Arabidopsis thaliana: one gene and its partners. The main gene of each other region encodes a partner of the protein of the gene in region 2 in a complex. Each region holds a gene or a part of one and is shown on either strand. Other genes may lie near its edges. The genes, in order: AT3G48210, AT1G61000 and AT3G54630.

Evidence for each region.
Region 1: AT1G61000 (region 2) and AT3G48210 share a complex: the UniProt entries of both Arabidopsis thaliana proteins name them as parts of the NDC80 complex.
Region 3: AT1G61000 (region 2) and AT3G54630 share a complex: the UniProt entries of both Arabidopsis thaliana proteins name them as parts of the NDC80 complex.

What each region holds. Positions count from the first base shown.
Region 1 is NC_003074.8:17,846,817-17,853,065, reverse strand, and holds AT3G48210 (kinetochore protein), read right to left. Parts: upstream 3,716-6,249; 5' UTR 3,632-3,715; coding exon 3,448-3,631; intron 3,280-3,447; coding exon 3,214-3,279; intron 3,068-3,213; coding exon 2,921-3,067; intron 2,754-2,920; coding exon 2,640-2,753; intron 2,547-2,639; coding exon 2,457-2,546; intron 2,349-2,456; coding exon 2,226-2,348; intron 2,108-2,225; coding exon 1,896-2,107; intron 1,682-1,895; coding exon 1,670-1,681; 3' UTR 1,281-1,669; downstream 1-1,280. Other genes in the region: AT3G48220 (F-box protein), read left to right, coding at 182-782; AT3G48209 (Plant thionin family protein), read right to left, coding at 5,182-5,385. UniProt on the Arabidopsis thaliana protein: Acts as a component of the essential kinetochore-associated NDC80 complex, which is required for chromosome segregation and spindle checkpoint activity to ensure proper cell division.
Region 2 is NC_003070.9:22,469,214-22,476,422, forward strand, and holds AT1G61000 (kinetochore protein), read right to left. Parts: upstream 4,975-7,209; 5' UTR 4,834-4,974; coding exon 4,670-4,833; intron 4,416-4,669; coding exon 4,197-4,415; intron 4,079-4,196; coding exon 3,988-4,078; intron 3,921-3,987; coding exon 3,741-3,920; intron 3,569-3,740; coding exon 3,479-3,568; intron 3,399-3,478; coding exon 3,291-3,398; intron 2,870-3,290; coding exon 2,816-2,869; intron 2,649-2,815; coding exon 2,534-2,648; intron 2,445-2,533; coding exon 2,287-2,444; intron 2,191-2,286; coding exon 2,095-2,190; intron 1,931-2,094; coding exon 1,883-1,930; 3' UTR 1,615-1,882; downstream 1-1,614. Other genes in the region: AT1G60995 (S3 self-incompatibility locus-linked pollen protein), read right to left, coding at 20-216, 310-415, 597-659, 1,210-1,362; CPSF73-I (cleavage and polyadenylation specificity factor 73-I), read right to left, coding at 5,741-7,209. UniProt on the Arabidopsis thaliana protein: Acts as a component of the essential kinetochore-associated NDC80 complex, which is required for chromosome segregation and spindle checkpoint activity to ensure proper cell division.
Region 3 is NC_003074.8:20,219,643-20,225,563, forward strand, and holds AT3G54630 (kinetochore protein), read right to left. Parts: upstream 3,387-5,921; 5' UTR 3,260-3,386; coding exon 1,553-3,259; 3' UTR 1,455-1,552; downstream 1-1,454. Other genes in the region: BZIP25 (basic leucine zipper 25), read right to left, coding at 76-136, 244-699; TSA1 (tryptophan synthase alpha chain), read right to left, coding at 3,689-3,823, 3,901-3,960, 4,057-4,134, 4,228-4,305, 4,635-4,820, 4,913-4,978, 5,072-5,218, 5,473-5,661. UniProt on the Arabidopsis thaliana protein: Acts as a component of the essential kinetochore-associated NDC80 complex, which is required for chromosome segregation and spindle checkpoint activity to ensure proper cell division.

The DNA of each region.
Region 1 (6,249 bases), on a different chromosome or scaffold from region 2:
ATTTGATTTTCTTAACAGATGATCTATGGGCAATTATACTTGCGAGATTACCACTAACAATCATCACCACTTCAAAACTAGTTTGCAAGCAATGGAAATCGCTCGTAGAATCTCCGTTTTTCCGCAAACTTTTCAACACCCACCATCAAAACTCTCATTCTTCATGGTCAATCCTCTGCAGAGTCCTACCTGAAGTAGTCGTGGCTCACTACGAATGCGAAACTTGGGGTCTTCCACGATCTCTAAGTTCTTACATCTCTTCTTTCATAACCCACAAATTCAATACTCAATTCCCAAACGTTACACTCGCCGTGGCTTACACTCATGTTGGATTGATTTTGATCAGCTCTGGCAACAAATTACTAACTTACTATGTGGCTAATCCGATCTCAAGACAATGTGTCGAAATCCCTCAGCCTCCTCCAACAGTTGGTTATTTTTTAACCTCTGGGCTTGTCACAAAACTTGAGGATCACGTCGTTTTAGGTTACAAAGTTGTTTTGATGGATACAAGTAACTTGGACGATGTCATAAGTTTACTGATATATTCATCCGAGACAGGGTTATGGAGTTTCAAAACCCTCCAATCTCATCTCACTTTGTCTGGTCTGATAGATTACAACCCTGTTAGCTTGTATGGAAACCTTTACTGGATAGGCTACAACAACGACTATGGAGAGGTTGTTGTGTTCCATGATTTCTACGCGACTGGCACGGAATCTGATCGATGCCAAGTTACACCTTTCCCTGACGGTGGAACGAAACCACCAAATTTAAAATGAGTTTGCACAACATCTCAAGGATATATCATGTACATGAACATCTTCTCCCAAGACAAAGATGATGCACATGTAGAGCATAAGTTACGTGTATGGAGGCTAAAGAGCCGGGAATGGGAAATAGTATCTGAAATATCTCTAGCTTGTAGTGAGACTGGTTTTGATTACATTCCGCTGGCAATAAACCCTTTTGATGCTAATACAATGTACATGTGGTGCAAGATGCATTCATGTTTGGGGTCTACTAATTTGCGTAAAGACAAGTTCGGGCTTCACAACAGCTTGGAATGTTGCAAAGATTATCAAACTCTGAGTTTTGCTGGGGATTGTAACATGTTGGAAGACCTTTATCACTTATACTTTTCCATGTTCGTTCTCCCGCGTTGGCTACACCAAATCCCTTCTTCGCCTTCATGAGCGAGGTGAAGAGTCGTTTCAAGAGGAACAACGAGTTGGAGAATGGTGTTTGATTTGTTTTCTTGTCTAATTTAAGATAGAAAATATGGTTGTGGCTATATTTTTAGTTTTAAAATTGCATAAACTGTACATCTCTAATGCACAATCTATGGCTCAAGTATCCATCATTATCTCTAATGCGCAATCTTAATGAAGCTAGACAAGCATCCATTAGCTAACGAAATCTAGAAATAGAGAAGCGCGAGATTACATCGATTAAAATCTAGTCCCACAAGCTCCATCATCGATTGGTGTATAAGCATAGCATCCACACTAGTAAAGAAATCAACATTGTCAATAAGCGTGATTACAATGACATTCTAATATTTATAGGAATTTCAAACAACAATCTGTTGTTGTCGAAAGTTCCGCAGCATCATCTACGCTTAAGTTTATTCCTTGATGCTTGTGAAAAGGAAAACAGAGCTCCACCTTCATTTCTTACCCTGTAACAAGTTAGAGTTGCTATATAAGTTGTATGTTAAATACTATAGGCTCCATGTGATCAGTTAAGTATTATTAATCAGATAGAACATTATTATGTCCAGTTGTTATGCAAATAGGTTCTGGTATCCTACTTTTGGAAACTATAGTATCTAACAAATATTTTGAATTTGGTTTGGTGTTGTAACATTTAAGAACACAATGAGTATCCAGTACCTTAAAGCGAGAAGAACGGCGAGTGGCAGATGTGGATACAGGAGCTAGGAGTGGTGATTCGCTACCTCTTTTTTGTCGCCGATTCACTTGAACCTTAGATCTTTTGTTTTCTGGAGTTGACATGTTTGTATCAGTGGAAAATGATATAGCTGGAGCTGAAGCAGATATGGCAGACGTTTCCTGTTGCAGTTGTCCTGAATGTGTTGGCAGCTCTGACAAAATCCAATAAAACACAAGTCTTGGTCATATTCAACTTTTATATATATCGAAAATAAGATTTCTCACTTATGGAGATAGAGGTTATAAAAGGATAGGCTTGAGACAATTTACCAGATAAAGTGGATTTCAGAAACTGCTCCCTCATCAGACGAACAAATCTGAAAAGGTCATTGGTTTTATTCAATTCTTGAACCATCTCGTTGATGTAATCCAATTGCAGATCGCTATCCAATACTGATGATCATATAAGTAAACGACTGTAAACAGTTCATATTACTAGGTTTTTTTGTAAACATTATAATGTAGTTGATGCTTGCTTCAAGAAGACATATATATACTCACGTGTGTAGATGTCATTTCCATAGTGAACTGTGAACGAAAATTCGCGGGTCGGCCTTTTTGCATCAATGTTGGTGAATGTGAATTTAACTCCTGTAAGAGAAGTTAAAACAACAAAGCTCTTTTAGGGCTAAGGTTTAGTAATATAGAACTAAGATTGTTACAAACTCAAAATGTCTCTATTACCATGTCCAGCTTCAACGTGAAAACCGAGAGCATGATTATACCAAGAGATTGCTTCATGAATATCTGCTTTGTCTTCGGTGACTTTACCAGCGTTGTCCTTCGATTTTGACAAGGCTTTATTGGAAGAAATATGTTAGCTTGGTCTTCAGTGATTCATGTGATCTCTTATTGAAACAAGCAGAGTACTTTTTATAGATATCTTCACTTTACAAAATCCCAAAGCATGTAGCTGACTCATGAAACTTGTATGTATAATGAACTTCAGAATTATATAACGATACCTTGCAACTGTTGGGAGATAATTCTCACAGAATCATCCTTCTTTGACTTCTGTAGCTGCAAATTTCTTCTAAGTACTTCAATCCTAGATTGTGTTGCAGAAATGGAATCTCTTATCCCCATTTGCCGTGCCTCTTTACGGGTTTTCACTAAACATCAAACATATAACATCCCAAAGACAGTAAGATATCCAAACTCAGCAAAACAATGTATGTAAGCATGAAAATAACACCAAGGAGAATCTTATGATTTAAGAAACTAAGTTCAAAGTTTCAAGCTTTTGAGGTAATAATACCTGCCAACACTTTAACTAGCTCATCCTCTGCTTCTCTCAGATCCGCTTTCAAATTCATTAGTTCCACTGTAAAATCAAAGAAACATTTCACAGAACCGCTCAATTTTACCAGTCTGATGTCGAAATTTTAAAACCCTAATTTCAGAGAGACAGAGCCTAAACCGTAAAAAAGTGTGAAATTTACGATCTGGGTCATACGGAACTGAGTGGTACTATGCGAATTTTGAATTTTACCTTGGCTTTGAGCAGTGGCTTGAGCTCGCTCCACTAAAGAGTTCATCGATCTCCGGAAAGGAGAAGCGATGAAAGAATCGATTTTAAGACGCTGTTCATGAATATCTTTCTCACAGATGAGACCCAGAGACGCCATAGTCTCTTTCGTTGTGTCTCCACCAGCGATGTTGCTAATTTGTTCCATCACCAAAGAGAGAAAGAGAGAGACTGAATCGAAGTTTAGCCCGCCATTTGAATTTTGATTCGAGTTTCGAAAATATGCTTCAAAACGCGAACCATCGTGATGAGAACTTTAAAACGATGGCGTTTTCATATCGTGCTACGTCCAAATTTATTGGGCTCCTTAAAAGGCTATTCTGAGACAGGCCCATTTGTCTGGTTTCTCGTTTACCGAAAGTAGTTCAGTCATCGGCAAACGTTTGATTTAATACGCGTTTGGCATCAATCACTATTTTGATTTATAACATTTTTAATCGCTCTAAATCAAAACCCTTACTTACAATATAGTTACAATAATATTATTTTTATCATACCAATTTTTCGGAAAATAGTAATATTGAATAGTGTGTGAAAGGTTGAAAATTGAACCGTTAGGATTTTAATTAGTTAGCCGAAGGAGCTGACAAAACCGAATACTACGGTTACACTTTAGAGAGTCAAAGACTCTTTTAATGCATTAACTACGTTTTCTGCATTGCATCATTGCATGTCTTCTCTTCCTTCAAGCAACTAGTCTTTTAATTAACACTAAATACATATTGAACATAACAATTCCTTCGTCTAGTTTCAATATGTATTTTCAGTTTTTTCACGTCCCTAGCTCACTTTAGACCTGCAAAGTGTTTTTTTTTTTAAAATAATAAATTAGAGTATTTTCACTATATATCAGTAGAAATGGGTGCGTATGTTTTTGATAATTAATTCAATAAAACCTGTAATGAGTAGATAAGACAATGAGTTTACTGTGTAAGTAAGCAAAAGGGACAAAAATGTGTTTTGTACATTATTTTGTTCTGTGTTTGTACATTAATTTGTTCTGTTTAGAATTTTTATAGATATTGGACCATGCAGAGGGTGTTAACTTGTTATAGCATTAACCATGTGCTAGATATATAGCATCGGAGCTTAAACGAATTATCAGTGTTAGATAGTTTGCTTGATTACTTCAACTTGAAGTAATCTGGCTGGCTTTATAATTAAGCTATTATCTTATAATTAGGCTATTATCTTTAATTTAATTGAAACTAATACTTTTGAGGAAAACTAATCGGATGAAATATTTCGAAAGAACTTTTTACATTGCAACGCACCCGTCCTGAGAATTAATGCGTTGTTGTCGAAGGAGAAAGGGCCATAAAATATGGATGAAGTAAATCGATCGAAGAAAGTCTTTATAAGGATCAAAATAAGGTTCAAATCCAATATGAATGAATGTTGACCCTAATTTTGGCCTCGGAAATCTTTATGATCATAGGAAAAAATCATTGTACACATCAAAATTTCTTATGAAAAGTAAACTGAGTTTTTGTTCATTACTCTTAATTATTGTAATTCTTTCCTTCCACAACAATAACTTATGAAAAGTAAACTGAGGATATGAGGATCTATCCTATGAGGTTTTCCATTCCTACAGCCTCCATCCTGCAATGTCGCGATAAATATAAATTATTAGTCAACACAAATTAAAAGGTATACTTGATCAATATACGTAAATATATACGAGGTTACGAATTATTACGGAGGAGCTGGAAAGCCACATTTTTCGTGAAGACATTTACGGAGACAAGGGGTCTCAGGGACAGTGATGCGGCCACCACATTGGTCGATGCACATTTGCTTGCATGTTGTTCTTATTATAATTGCTTCTCCTCCTCGTATGGATGCCATCACCACCATCATCATTATCATCATGATCATACTACATTTCTTCATCTCCATTTTTTTTTAGTTTCTTTCCTTTAATTTTTTCCCTGTAAGTGTATGTTTACGTATACATGTCTTTTTTGTCATAGGTGTGTGTGTAGTATATATAAAACTAATGTCCAGAAAAGTTAAAATCATTAATTTAAAGTTTGACTAGACTATAATTAAAAATATTAAAATTTTCTTTATTACTTTTGCAAGTTTGTTTTTGTCAACATTTTTCTTTATTACTTATAATGGTTCTAATTAGATTTCTTTTGATATATATAATTACTTTCAAGTTTCATATAATATTTATATTGAAGGTTAGAAAGAAGAAAAAAAGTCAGTTGCCAGAGTACACATATATAAATGTACATGCATGAGATTATGCTAGAAGAGAAACAAATCTAACTGGACAATTGAAGTTCAATAGCGTAGCCTGGCGGCAAACAAAATGGAGAAACAGTTGAAGTTTAATTTAGCAAATTTTAGGTAATGATGATTGATGGATGTGGGTTTTAATTGATTACATGCTGATGTGGTGATGTAAAGTGTGTGTGCGCGTCAAAGTGAAAATACCTGAAGAAAATTCGAGTGCACTAGTTTTTAATGGGCCGCCTCGACAATTCGAGGTTTTGGACAACAAACCGATCTAAATCTGGATTTTAGTTCCTATTAGCCGTGATTTTAAACATCACATTTGAATGCATTGTTCAAACATTCAAGCATTTGACCAGTTTGAATGTTCTGTTTAATTTTAAATATCAAATTGGTCAAATGTTTGAATAATACACGCAATTGTATAGTAATTTTTTGTGTGTCATTTGAGATTGTTTGAAATTTTGAAAATAAAACGGATGATATAAATATGACTTATTTAAGAGATGGTGGTTAATT
Region 2 (7,209 bases):
ATTCTAAGAGATAACTCACCCATATTTTTCTAACACCTCTGAGGATCCGTGCTGTATGCTGTAAAACGAAAGATATGCGCCTGTAACACTTTTTAAGAAAGCGAAGAATAGCTGCTCTGACATTCTCTTTTGCAGACACTGAGAAACTACTGCGGGGCTCTTCCTTATCAATTTTCACAAATGTATCATCGGTATTTTCTTCACTGGTAGAGCTTTCTGCATGATTGCAAAAGAGGCAGTGTCAGTACCTGCAAACGTCAAAGATATTGAGCTCCTACAAACAGTCTATCCAAACCAATAAAAAAACACCTTGATCAGTCTTTGACACTTCTAAACTATCAGTTGCAGCAACAACTCGAGGAACATCTGCAGCAGTACTTTCATCATTACGTGACCACAACCCTGCACTTGTTATCTATATCACAGAAAATCAGTTGGTTAGAGAACTAAGGATGAATAGAAATTTTATTTGTGGCTAACTGATTTCAAGAAAGAGTTTTCCAAAGTACGAGTGAGGAACCAGTTCAAAGCCTAGAAAATCTAAAATTTTTCACTAATTATGCATGCTAGCATCAGAAGCGATAATAGCTACATACCTTGATTTGCATAAGCTCTGCTTCAGCTAACTCAACTCCAGTCAGCTCACTTGAACAACCAGGCTTTAATAATAATCAAAAAAATTAACGAAATTAGTTAGAGAGAAACAATAATGGTCAGATAAGAGAAGCTTAGGAGAGTCTAGCAAAGATAAATCTTAGGAAGGCATGCACACTACACGAAACTCTTAAAGTAGAAGAGAGCTAAGCCAACAGATATTTGATTTTTGAAGTTTGCAATCTTAGAAGTATTCAAATGCATTTGCATAGGCCGTAATTCCTATTGGAAAGTGTACTAATGTTTACATAAACATAAACACAAAGAAATCAGAAAAGTATCTTCCGTCGGATTTATATAATTATGACCAGTGCAACCTTAGTAAAGATACAAACAGTAGTCTCCTAACCACGCTCATGCGAACATGTTCTACAGAATTAGCTTAAGCTCCACAATTCATATCAGATTACTCCTAACACAGAAAAATGCTACATCATCCTTTTCAAATTGTAGTATCTCAGACTTAAAATTTCAACAATGAAGTCATTAACAAAGGCAATTTGCACTAAAAACGACCTATAAATTAAAGGATTCAATACGAGAGTCAAAAATTACCTGCTGAACATAATTGGCGTGCATAACAACGAGGATACAGAACAAAGTGATGGCAACGAAGAGGTAAGTATACTCTAAGAAACCTCTAATCCTTGGCGTTAAGATCTGCGAAAACCTCTCCTGAACCCTAATAAACGTCTGCTCCGGATCCATATTTCGGATCTCCGATGCACTTTTTCGTCTTCTTCGTTAACACTACGTAGTCATCGAATTTGAATTGCTCCGTTGCGAGGATCGTAGATTTCTTCTCGTTCTGGGAGATTGTCGAATCCACAGAAATTGAAGAGTGAAGATGATTGAAAAGAAAAGCACCGCGAAGCAAATTTTACACTTTGTTTGCTGTTAAATTGTTTTTATTTTTCTTCAAAAATCCCTAGTGAGAGTGGCGCAATTGGGAAAGCGATAGGATTCTTTTGCTTCCAGGACAAGAGTTCGATTCCTTCAACACAACCATAAAGCTCTCATTTTCTCTTCATTTTTTTTCTGTTAACATTCTTTTATAAACTACTTCAATACATGCCATTTCCATGAAGAGAAATTCATAACATTTTCCAACTTTAATACAATCACAAGAGGAATTTAGTAGTCAAATTCTTAACCATTTGCAGAGAAAATGTGCTCATTACAATCTCTCGTCTACCTTAATTTAGATGAATCAGACCTTCCTTGTCCTTTAGAGGCTTGGTAGAAACGCATCAAACGACACCGTGTATTCATGAAACTGCAAATATCAAAAGCAAGGCTCACTAATATGTCTTACAGAGAATCTGGAAGAACCCTAGTAGCTTTTTAACTTTGGAAACCTCTTTAACTTGATGCACCACAAAGCTTTTGTTTCCATGGTTCAATATATTAGCAGATAAAAATAATGGAAACGAAATAAACCTGCTTCACGATCTCTTCATATTTAGCGGCTAGTTTTTTAACTTTAGCTTCTCCTGACTGTCTCACCTGGTTAGTCTTCGCAGTATTGTCATCAACCTGTTGATATATAAACAAATAAAACTTACGGAGATGATAAAGCATCGTGCACAACAGATTCACGTTGTTAGATGTTCGATAGAAAGGAAGCAATACCATAGCTACTACTGATTCAACATTCGTTTGCCTGGTTTCAAGTTCACGTCTTCTGGATTCAACCTCCACTTTTAATTCATTCAACTGTTTCGTCCAATCATCAAACATGACTGCTTTTTCTTTCTCTAGTTGTTTCAATGATTCGTTCAACTGTTCCACTGTTGACAGAAGAGATGATTACAGTCTCCGTCCCAAAACAAAATTCAGAAACAATATCTGAAGAAGGAAGAAATAAACCAACACTTGCCTATTCTTTCCCGCTCAACCACTTTCGCCTCAAGTGATTTGTATGCTACCCCATCCTCACTCAGCTTATCTTTAAGAGCTTTGAATTCTTTCTCAACCGTTTTCGCATTGGTTACCTGTAACATCATCAAATATACATAAAAATGAAAGATAAATCTAAAGACACATTAGATCTCATTCCAATAATTGGAAGGATCTGTGTGTTGCCACATGCTAGAGATACAATACATGGTTCACAATCTATAAGCAATGAAAGAGGAAAGGAGTTTTTTTGCTTGGTCACCTGTTCGTTTATTAACTGCAGTTGCGAAGATGACTTTAAAATTTTCTTCAAGGCCTGCAAAAGGCAACCATAGTTGAATAAACTTTATTACCTCAATATTAAAGCAAAACTTATTCGACTCAAAAATAAAGCATAAAACTGTTGCAAGACAAAACATAAGAAAATTTTGAAGTAACAACACAGAATAAGGTCTCAATCTAATATTTTCCATCTTGGGATCATTCTCATCCACTATACAACAAAATAAAAGAAGTTCTTCCTAAAGCTTCTGGACAGAATTTCATGAAGTATGAACAAAAGTGATAGAGCAATAAACACACCAAACTTAGAAGAATAATGACTTGAAATATCCTTCTCTAAAAACTGGTTTGAGAGCAGTATCCGCAGTGACCATTAAGTTGCAAATGTCGTAAATGCATTTAGCTACTTGCTAAGCGACAGGATTTAGTAACAATCTAGAGTTTTCATTAGATACCTTTTCAAAAACCTCAAGAATGGCAGCCTTTTCCTGGAAAGTTACCATTGCTGATTGTTCAGCTTTCTTTGTTTCCCCAAGTACTAGTTTCTTCTCTTCTAAAGCTCCCTGTCTCCACAACAAACGTTTATACTAGTGTATACCAAAAGTTTATCTTAGGACTAGTACTAGTTGGAATAAAAATATACCTGCAATTTGTCCGGTGATTGAACAATTTGTGAGCGGAGGTTTGCATTTTCTTGGACAGTTTCCACAAGATCAAACTCTGCTTTGGAAATCTGTAGAGAGAAATACACATGTCAGGAGCAGAAAACGCCTCTCAAGTTCAAGCATATGCAAATCACCTAATTGACAAACAAAATTTGTTTCTTCACCAACTTCATAATAAATTACAAATAACCCAATTTAGTTTGAGGAAGGAGCTCGACACCATATCCTGCGGTTACGTACCTCGTTATCCATCTGTGTACTCTTCTCTCTCATTTTCTGGAAGGTAGCTCGCAGTGACATCTGCTGATTATTTAGTTCCAATATTTTTTTATTCAGTTGTTCAATGTTCGCTTCTAGCTCTTGGACAAAAGGTAAGTCCCTCTCAACGGCTTCATCAAATTCTCCAATCTCTGCATTCAACTGCATGTACAGCTTTTAGAAAAAGATAAATGACTTATCTATGGGATACATATTTTTCTTGCATTACCTGAGCAACCTTTGCCTCACACTGCTTTCGCTGCTCATCAAGGAGACCCAACTCTTCTGCCTTTGGTCTTATAAGATCCATTTTCGAGTCTCTGGTACGAAAAAAAGATTAAAGAAGATCAAGTGGGACAAATAAGAACTCTCTATTTTAACTTCTTGGTGCATCGAAATAGATACTACAGAGAAGAACTAAGAGCATGAAGGACATACTTGTATAGACCATAGTTCAAAAGTGCGCTGATGAAAAACTCGGTTCGGGATGATTCAGGGCGTAAGAGATCCTTGAAACTAATTGGTAATGGACAATCAAGCATTTCTAACATATCTTTCACTTTGCAATAAAGCTTCATAGCTTGCATTGAAGTGGCATGATGATCTGGATTCTCCAATTGCTCCAAAGCCTCAAAATCAACTTGCCCTTTCTCTTCTCTACAATGTCGAAAAACGCAATTCAAAAAAGAAGCATCATCAGAAATTCCCCCAAATTGAAACAAAAAATAGGGTTTTCAAAATTACTTAGCAGTTCATACAATCAAAAATAGAAAATCCCAAAGATTCAATATTTAACATAATTTCTGACAGAATTCGATGACCTAGCTCGAAACTAGACGAAGAGTTTCAAAATCGAGGGTAAAATTGAGTGAAGAGCTAAGAGAGGAACTAGGGTTTTGAGGAGTACATACTCGTCGAGGGCGTCGAGATAGATAAGAATTCTGGTGTAAAGCTCGGAGACAAAGTCGGAAGTTGGGGTTTTGAGATCGGTCTCTGTAACGCTAGCGATTTGAGCATCCTTGAGCGCCGTGATAATGTCGGAACGAGAGAGCCTCGGGTACTCGTAGGCTGACATAGTTTTCAGTTTTGGTCAGGTTCGGATTTGTTGTGTCTGGATTCGAAGAAACTGAAAATGACAATTTGGAAAGAAATGAAAAAAAAAAAAGAGAGCCTTTGATTTTAGTTGGGTCAGGTTCGATTTGTTTTTTGCATTTGCTTTTCCCGCCTATATGAAACTGCAGTCTCTGCAGATATTGATGCATATTTGGATACGGTAGAACGTAGAAGCTTTTATAAATAAAATTAAAAAAGAAACTTTAATCTACAAAAAAAAAAATTAAGCATTTTAATATTGTAGAGATTTGGTCTTAATATCTTGATGCACTAGACATCTTGCCAAAACATAGAGGTCAAGAGACATTCACTGATGTGAATAATGTATACTTTGTACGTGGAAAAATAATAGAAAATGTGCTCATTACAATCTCTCTTCTACCTTACTTTAGCTCAATCAGACCTGCCTTGTACTTTAGAGGCTTGGTAGAAACGCATCAAACGACACCGTGTATTCATGAAACTGCAAATATCAAAAGCAAGGCTCACTAATATGTCTTACAAAGAATCTGGAAGAAGCCTAGTACTTTTTTAACTTTAGAAACCTCTTAACTTGATGCACCACAAAGCTTTTGCTTCCATATCCTAGATCAGCATAATGATAGAAAAATGCATATGGGAAAAGCACGAATCAGCAAAATGATTTATGAAAAAACCTAAAAAAGTTAAAAACTCATAGTTGATAACATCCATAAGACTTGATCATTATCACAGTAGGGTAGTAGCAAAGTTTCTCAATAAACACCTTCTTAAATAACATCCATTAGACTTGATCATTCACTATTACTAAACATGGGAACAGAAACATCATCAGATGGATAAAACTCTATGATGATTTAAGATACCTCAACGATGACTTTAAAAAGCTACTAAGAAGCTGAGAGAGGGATTGGTTTCACAGCGCTCTGAATCCGCTCAAAAGCTACTCTCACTCTTTCCTTAAGACCTGAATGCTCACTCTCTACCTCTCCACTCTCTTTATCCAGCTGAGCGACATTGCCATCGACCCTAATCACCAGTTTCCCGTTTTCTCCTAGTTTCACATCCCCGAAAAGCGAAACAAGAAGTGCGTATATCACTTTCTCAACTTTCTTCCCGTTCTCTTCCTCGGATTTCACAGCATCTTCTTCTTCCATAACGATCTTGGGGACTTCTCGGCTGATGTTGAGAATCAGAGCTACAATGGAGTCTGAAACCATGTCACTTATTGGATCTGATGACCACTGAAGTGAGATGTGCTTCTCTGACTCTTGTTTCACCGTTACTCTTTCATGAACTTTCAGTGCTGGAAGCCCCGATTCCTCATCTGTTGAAAATTCCACGCTCTCGAAAATCTTCTCCAGGCGATGTTTTATCACACCAAAAGCTCCTACAAACGGGATTGTAATTCGCTGAGTTACAGTTGCTGTTGATAGCTGTGAGAAAACATGGAGTTCGTCAGGTGCCATTATCTGATAAGTGAACCCTTTCTTCACCAGAATCCCGCTTACTGTATCGCCAACATCAGGTGTCTTTTCCGCCAATCTCCCAATGGTTTTCGCCAATTTCTCAGAATTAAAATACATTTCCACTGACTCACAGTTCTTCGGGGTCATGATCTTTGTGTTTCCATCAGGAAACTCTGTTAAGAGCTTCTGTTTGAGCCTCATCATCTCGTTAGCTTCACCGTGAACAAGGATGATGTTAGGAGGCATGAGCTCTTTCAAGAACGTGCTCGTCTGCGCGTAATCTGCATGAGCAGAGAACGATATATAGTGCACTTGCATGTTGAGCGGAGCAGTAAGACCATTCATAAGAGTCACCTCCTTTGGTTCATTAATTATCGTCTTGGCCAGTGTACCTTCCACCATATAACCTGGTATGATACAAGCATTCTTCTTATCTGAACACCAGCTGTCAAAGAGTTGCCTTGAGAGACCGCTTTGAAGACCTCCAGGAGTAGCCATTACCACAGATGGACCGACATCATTAAAATCATCGATGCTGTTTAATGGAGAAATGTGCTTGAACACAAACGGATTAGAATTTGCAAACTGGTTGCGGATTCTGTCGTTCATAGATAATATGTAGGTTTGGTAAACCGCCATACACTTTTTGGCGAGTGGTGATGCATAGTAGATTGGGATATTGTGTAGATCTGGGTGGTTCGCCCAGTATTCATCAAGAATCAAGAGAAGTTCCTGAGCACGGCCCAGTGCAAAAGCCGGGATCAGCACACGTCCACCCTGAGCAACCGTTGAATGGATTACATCAGTGAAGCGTTTCTCACGAATATGACGAGATTGATGAAGCTGGACACCAGAAGTGGATTCAATGATGCATATGTCAGGGGAGAATT
Region 3 (5,921 bases), on a different chromosome or scaffold from region 2:
AACATTGACATTGACGAGAGACAAAGCTAGAGAGAGTCAAAAAACCAAAACCAAAACAAAGCAACGATACGTGACCTTGAGCTTGTTTTTGATTGCTAGCTGAAGCACTCGAATCTTCCGGTTTCACAGTTCCCACCTGAAGAAAATCATATCAAATCAACACACAACCAAACATTCCTTATTGTTGAAATCATCAATTCCTTTAATCTGAATACACATAAGAAATGGATCTAAGAGACGTACACGACGAGCAACAGCAGCGCAAGCAAGCTCGAGCTTGCTCTTAAGAATCGCATGATACTGATTAGGATCAACAACAACAGGAGCTGAAGAATCAACCGGATCAGACGACGGAGCACGATTCCGATTCTTCCCTTGATCATCAACAGGGAGCCGTCGATGATTCTGCGGTTTCTGAATCTCAACAACATCTTCGGTTTCGTCAACGGTTTCTTCTAATCTCGAAAGAGACTGAACCGGTGGAGGTGATCTCTCGATTGTGTTAGTCGTAGGGCTCGAATCGGAACCAGACAACTCATTGATAAGCCTGTGGAACGCCCACTCCGATTGACTTCGAGTCATCCCATCCGCCACGTTCTGCGTCGGTGACGGAGTCGATGACGATCCCGGCGACGGCGCCGGAGCGGGAACAGGCCAGAAGGATTCGGTCAAATCATCGACAGAGAAGACGATGTGCATCGCTTACCCAATCGCCTCAAATTCTTCTTCTTCTTTTTTCTCTCTCTCTCTCTCTCTCGCTCTTTCCTTAATTTGTTTTTGTCTTACGTGGAGCCGCCATTATTGATTAGGATACTTGACACGTTTCTGTATTGTATTGGATTAGTACTAACCAACATATCTTTTTTCTGTTAATAATTTAATAAAAATGCAAATTAAGGCATTCAAAGGCATTTTAAATTTCTACTTTAGTTGATGTGTGTCATTTACTTTGTGGGCAAAAGGGTAAGAATAATGTGTTGGCTTTATAGATAAGCAGCTTAGGTTTCCTTTGTCTTTTTTAACTCCTTCCTCTCATTTTCTTGATTTGATAGCTACTCTCTCTTATTCATATCATCAGTAAGATATTCTCACCACATATGATGCATGAGTAAGCAAGCTTTAAACAAGTAAAGGAGGAACTCAGTGAGACTGAAGAAAGTGGTAACCCAAAGAGGTTACAACCGAGGAGCTGCAAACATAGCCTGACTTCAAGAGACCCGAGGGGATAAACCGAATAAGAATCAAAGTCACCTAAGTCAGCTTATGGTAAAAAGAAGGTAAGAGTGTATTCATTGGAAATCCTATGTAACTTGATCATAACAGCGTTCTTTGAGTTAAACATTGTGAATATTAGATTATGTGCCTATCATCTAAGTTTCAATGAAAAAAGAAACACAGATATTTATATACTACTAGCATAGCTGAGCAATTTCAATTATCCATCCTGAAAACTCATACATACCACACATAGATGCTAATACGACTATGTGAACAAAAGCAATAGGAATTACTCACGCTTTTAACAATCTCTTGGCTCAGTTGATTCCAACCACTAGATACCAAGGTTCTTCTTGAAGTTGGCTTTGTATATCTCTGAAACAGCACTGGCAGTATCAGCAACACCGGTTTTGATCTCCGATATCTTCGAATCCATGTACTCTTTCTGTTTCGATATCGAATCGATAAGTGCAAAGAGTTGTGCAGCACATGCTTGGACCTCCTCTTCACTCTCCTTCACTGCTTCTTGCAATCTAAGCTCCGAAGCTTTTACAAACTCAGCAGCTTCTTTCTCCACAACCTCCAGATTCAAAGCCTCAGCTTTCACACTCTCAACCAATGTTTTCGCCTCCAAATCACATTTTGTACTCAACTCCTGAGTTTCCTTCTTCACCAACTTCATCTTTTCTTCGAGGTCATTGATCTGCAACTGAATTGACCCAAGAAGACTCCTTTTGGATTCGATCTTCGAAGCCATTTCAGACTTATGGTGCTGTAAAGTGACCAATTCCTCCACTTTCTCCGCCGAGCTTCCTTTGATCCCATCGCACAACGAACACAGAGCTGGCTTCACCACCGATTTATAATCCACACCCATCACCGCTGCAGGTGTTTCCCCTCTCTCGTTAACAGCGAACTGAATATCAAGCTTCAATCTCCTGAGAGCTTGGTTGCAGTCAATGGCAAGTGTCTGAATCTGATGAAACTGATTCCTAATCTGTGAATTGAGTTCCCAAGCTTTCTGATCCCAACCATCTCTAGCAACCTCAGCATCCGCAACATCTCTTTCCACAGCTTGTAACTCTCTTCTCATCCTATTTACATCCGCCGCGCTAAAGTTCTGAAGCTCCACACTCTTCTTCAACTCCTTATTCTCTACAGAGATTCGCTCTCTCTCTTCTTCCTTAGCTTTGAGCTCCTTAGCTTTCTCCTCCACAACTTTCTCCATCGCTGGATTCCTATCAGTATACTCCACAACAATAGTTCGGAACTTGTTTACGTCATTCTCCAAATCGGCTTTAACTTTCTCCAGAGACTCTTTCTTCGAAGGACCTTTCCTCAGTGACTCAAGTTTAGCCTCCAATTCACCGGAGATTTTCTCACAACCAGAGATAGTTTCAGCGACGCTAGTCTTCTCCGCTTCCAATTTACCCAAAAATTGAGAATCTAAATCGTTAACCTTATCATCCTCGCCGCGAATGAAGTGACCAAAGCTTTGAATCGCGAAGAAATTCATGGAGTTATCTTCGGGTACGGAGGTGGAATTAGATACTAGATGTTGATGGAAACGAGCAAGCTCAGCTAACCAGTGAACAACGGCGAGAACAGTAGGCCAATTGTGAGGCGTATTTGGAGCTTTGAGGCTAGATTTGGTGATCTTAAAAGGACATTTCTGCGATTTGAGAAAGAAGACGAGATCCTCGTCCCATTTGATGGAATCGCAAGGGTAATCTAAAGCTGAGAGCAAGAATTTTAGGGTTTCGGAGATGTCTTTGACAGAAGGAACAGGATTACCGCGGATAGAGATCGGGAAGTTATGTGTGGAGAGGAAGGCGTTAATGAATCGAATCATCGAAGATCTGTCATCGGAGGCTCCTCGGCCGCCTAAACCGATTGATGAAGGACGGCTGCTGGCGAAACTGGCGTCGGAGTCTCTTGAGTTAAAGAGGTGACGTTGTTGCTCGATTGATGGTGGAGGTGGCGGCGGCGCTCCGCCGAAACCCACCGTCGTTCTTCTCTTTCCCGCGGCTCCGCCTCTCATCTCTTTTTTGCTTTTTACAGATAAAGCAACTGACACTGGAACTGGATCGGGAAATATATTTCTATAGAGCAGCGGGATGGATTACTTTTGTAATTTGAATTTTCGAAAACCTAAAAAAACCTCTTCGAATTTCTTTGTTTTTTTATTTCTCATTCATTTCAAAAGAAATTATATATAGGGTTGTTTTGTTCTGGTTTAATCGAACCATAATATCAAACCGGGTCGCAAATTTATCGAACCAAATTGGAAAACAATTTGAGTCATAACGTTTTTATTATTCTGTGTAAACCGAGCAACTGGTTGTGTGGCTTGAGTCACAGTAACTTATTAATCATACTTGAAATGTATCAAAAGATTGAGACATCATTGTCACACACCGATAATAATCAAAAACACAATCTAAAGATGTTGTCTGCAAATGTTTGTGTTTCAAAGAAGAGCAGATTTAAGAGACTTGGTTAGTTTCTCAAGCTCCTTAAGTCCTTCAGTTGGCGACTTTGCATCACCCAATAGCTTTACCATTGCACTGCCTACGATCACTCCATCAGCTCCCCATCCAGCTATCTGTTGACACAACAAAACTAGTCAGCAAAGAAGTAACTATGAAGACAACATAAGAGAAGCTTTGTAAGGTTTAGGACCTGTTTCACATGCTCCGGCTTTGATATTCCAAAACCGACTGCCACCGGCTTGTCTGTCGCCTGCATTGAATTACAAATGACTAAACAACTTGAGCATTTCTACATCATTTCAAGATATTTGAGAAACAATCTTTAAAAAAAAAACTGTTATTAGACCTCTTTGATATCCTTCAAGAGCGACTGAACCTTTCCGCTTACAGATGATCGTGCACCAGTCACTCCAATTGAGCTCACCTGTTAAACCCAAAAAAAGGGCCAATACATTCTCAAATTAAGTAAACACATGTGACATCTGCAAAGAGAAATATACACTGAGAGGGATCTTACAAGGTAAATAAATCCTTCTGACGCATCAACAATTAGCTTCATTCGCTCTGTTGGTGTGGTTGGTGTAGTGAGTAGGACCTTGATTACAAACATTGAGCAAAATTATGTTTACTAAAAGGCAAAGATACTGAAAGCCGAATGTCAAAATAGATCGAGGCAGATCCAGCAAAACACATGTATAGTACTGTAGTCTCAGTGTCTACACTAAACAATGCTTCTACTGTTTCTATTGATAAGGCTGGCAAATAAATCTCCACAGAGACAAATGATACGTAGGTTCAGCTAAGAAAAACCAAATTCGAGGAGACGAAGAAAATAAATAAGATACACAAATGAATCTATACTGCACTGGCATGACTGAGAATCATGCTACCAAGATATATGCGTCCTTCAGATTATATGCTTACCAGCTCAATGTCGTTGTTGAGGGCTTCTTTTCTCAGCATCTCAGTTTCCTCAAGAGGAACATCGGGAACCACAAGTCCCTGTACACCAACAGCTCTGATGCTGGACATGAACTTCCCCAACCCACGTTTAAGAATCGGGTTGTAATACGTGAACAACGAAATCGGACAAGATATTTGTGGAACAACCTGCACCAAGTCCAACAATAAGAACACACATATAGGAACGATATCTGACAGGGGACACAAACACACATCTTTCCTTCAGAAACTAAACTCACCTTATCCAACATCTCAAGGATGCTATCGAGGTTTGTTCCCCTCTCCAACGACCTTGTTGCCGCAGCCTAGTTGAATAGATAACAAAGAGCAAGATGATCAAACAAAAAAAAGGCAAGGGAAGCATATATAAAGGTTGCATTTTGATAGTTGGTTTAAACCTGAATAACAGGTCCATCAGCTAAAGGGTCAGAGTAAGGAACACCCAATTCGATTATGTCAGAACCACAAGCATCAAGAACTTTCAATGCTTCAGCAGTAGTAGAGAGATCCGGATCACCAGCTGTGATATATGGTATGAATGCTACCTTCACACATAAAAGTTAAACAAATTGCAAATGAACTGTAAATTACAAAATCCAATCGTATCAGTAAGACCAAGATTGCAAACCTAATCAAACTCAATGCTAACTCAATCTGATAAGAAGAATTCATAAGCAATAACAACACATGGTTTTGTGATTCTTTCAAATCCAAATTTCCCACCAGAACTAACGATAAGTTTTAAAAGTCCAATTCTTGAGGAACGGATTGGAATATGAAAGACGGAGAATTAACGTACTTTGCCTTGTTTTTTGAGCTGTGTGAAAGTATCAGCGAGACCGAGAGTAGGAGAAGAGGTGGAGAGAGAAGCCATGGGAGTGAATCTCTTGAAAGAAAGCGATGAATCAGGAGGAGAAGAATGGCGGAATCCAATTTGAGATTTTGGGGATTGGAGGAAGAAGACGCCGGATTTGAAAGCAATCGCCATTTGAAAAACTTTGTGGAATTTTGGAAATGAGTTTGGTTGAAGAAGAGCGAGTGTTTATTTTTATATATAAAAACTGAGTAACAGCGATTCCACGTTTGAGATATATGAAAAAAATGAGGTAGGTGAAATCTACCAGCCAAGAGTATTCAGGCGCCGTCACTTACATCTTCGAGCTATTTTGACTTCTGACTTGCTCTTCCATCTTTGTTTTGTAAAAATCAAACACCCATATTTTTGTTTTTCCATTTTGTAAGATATTT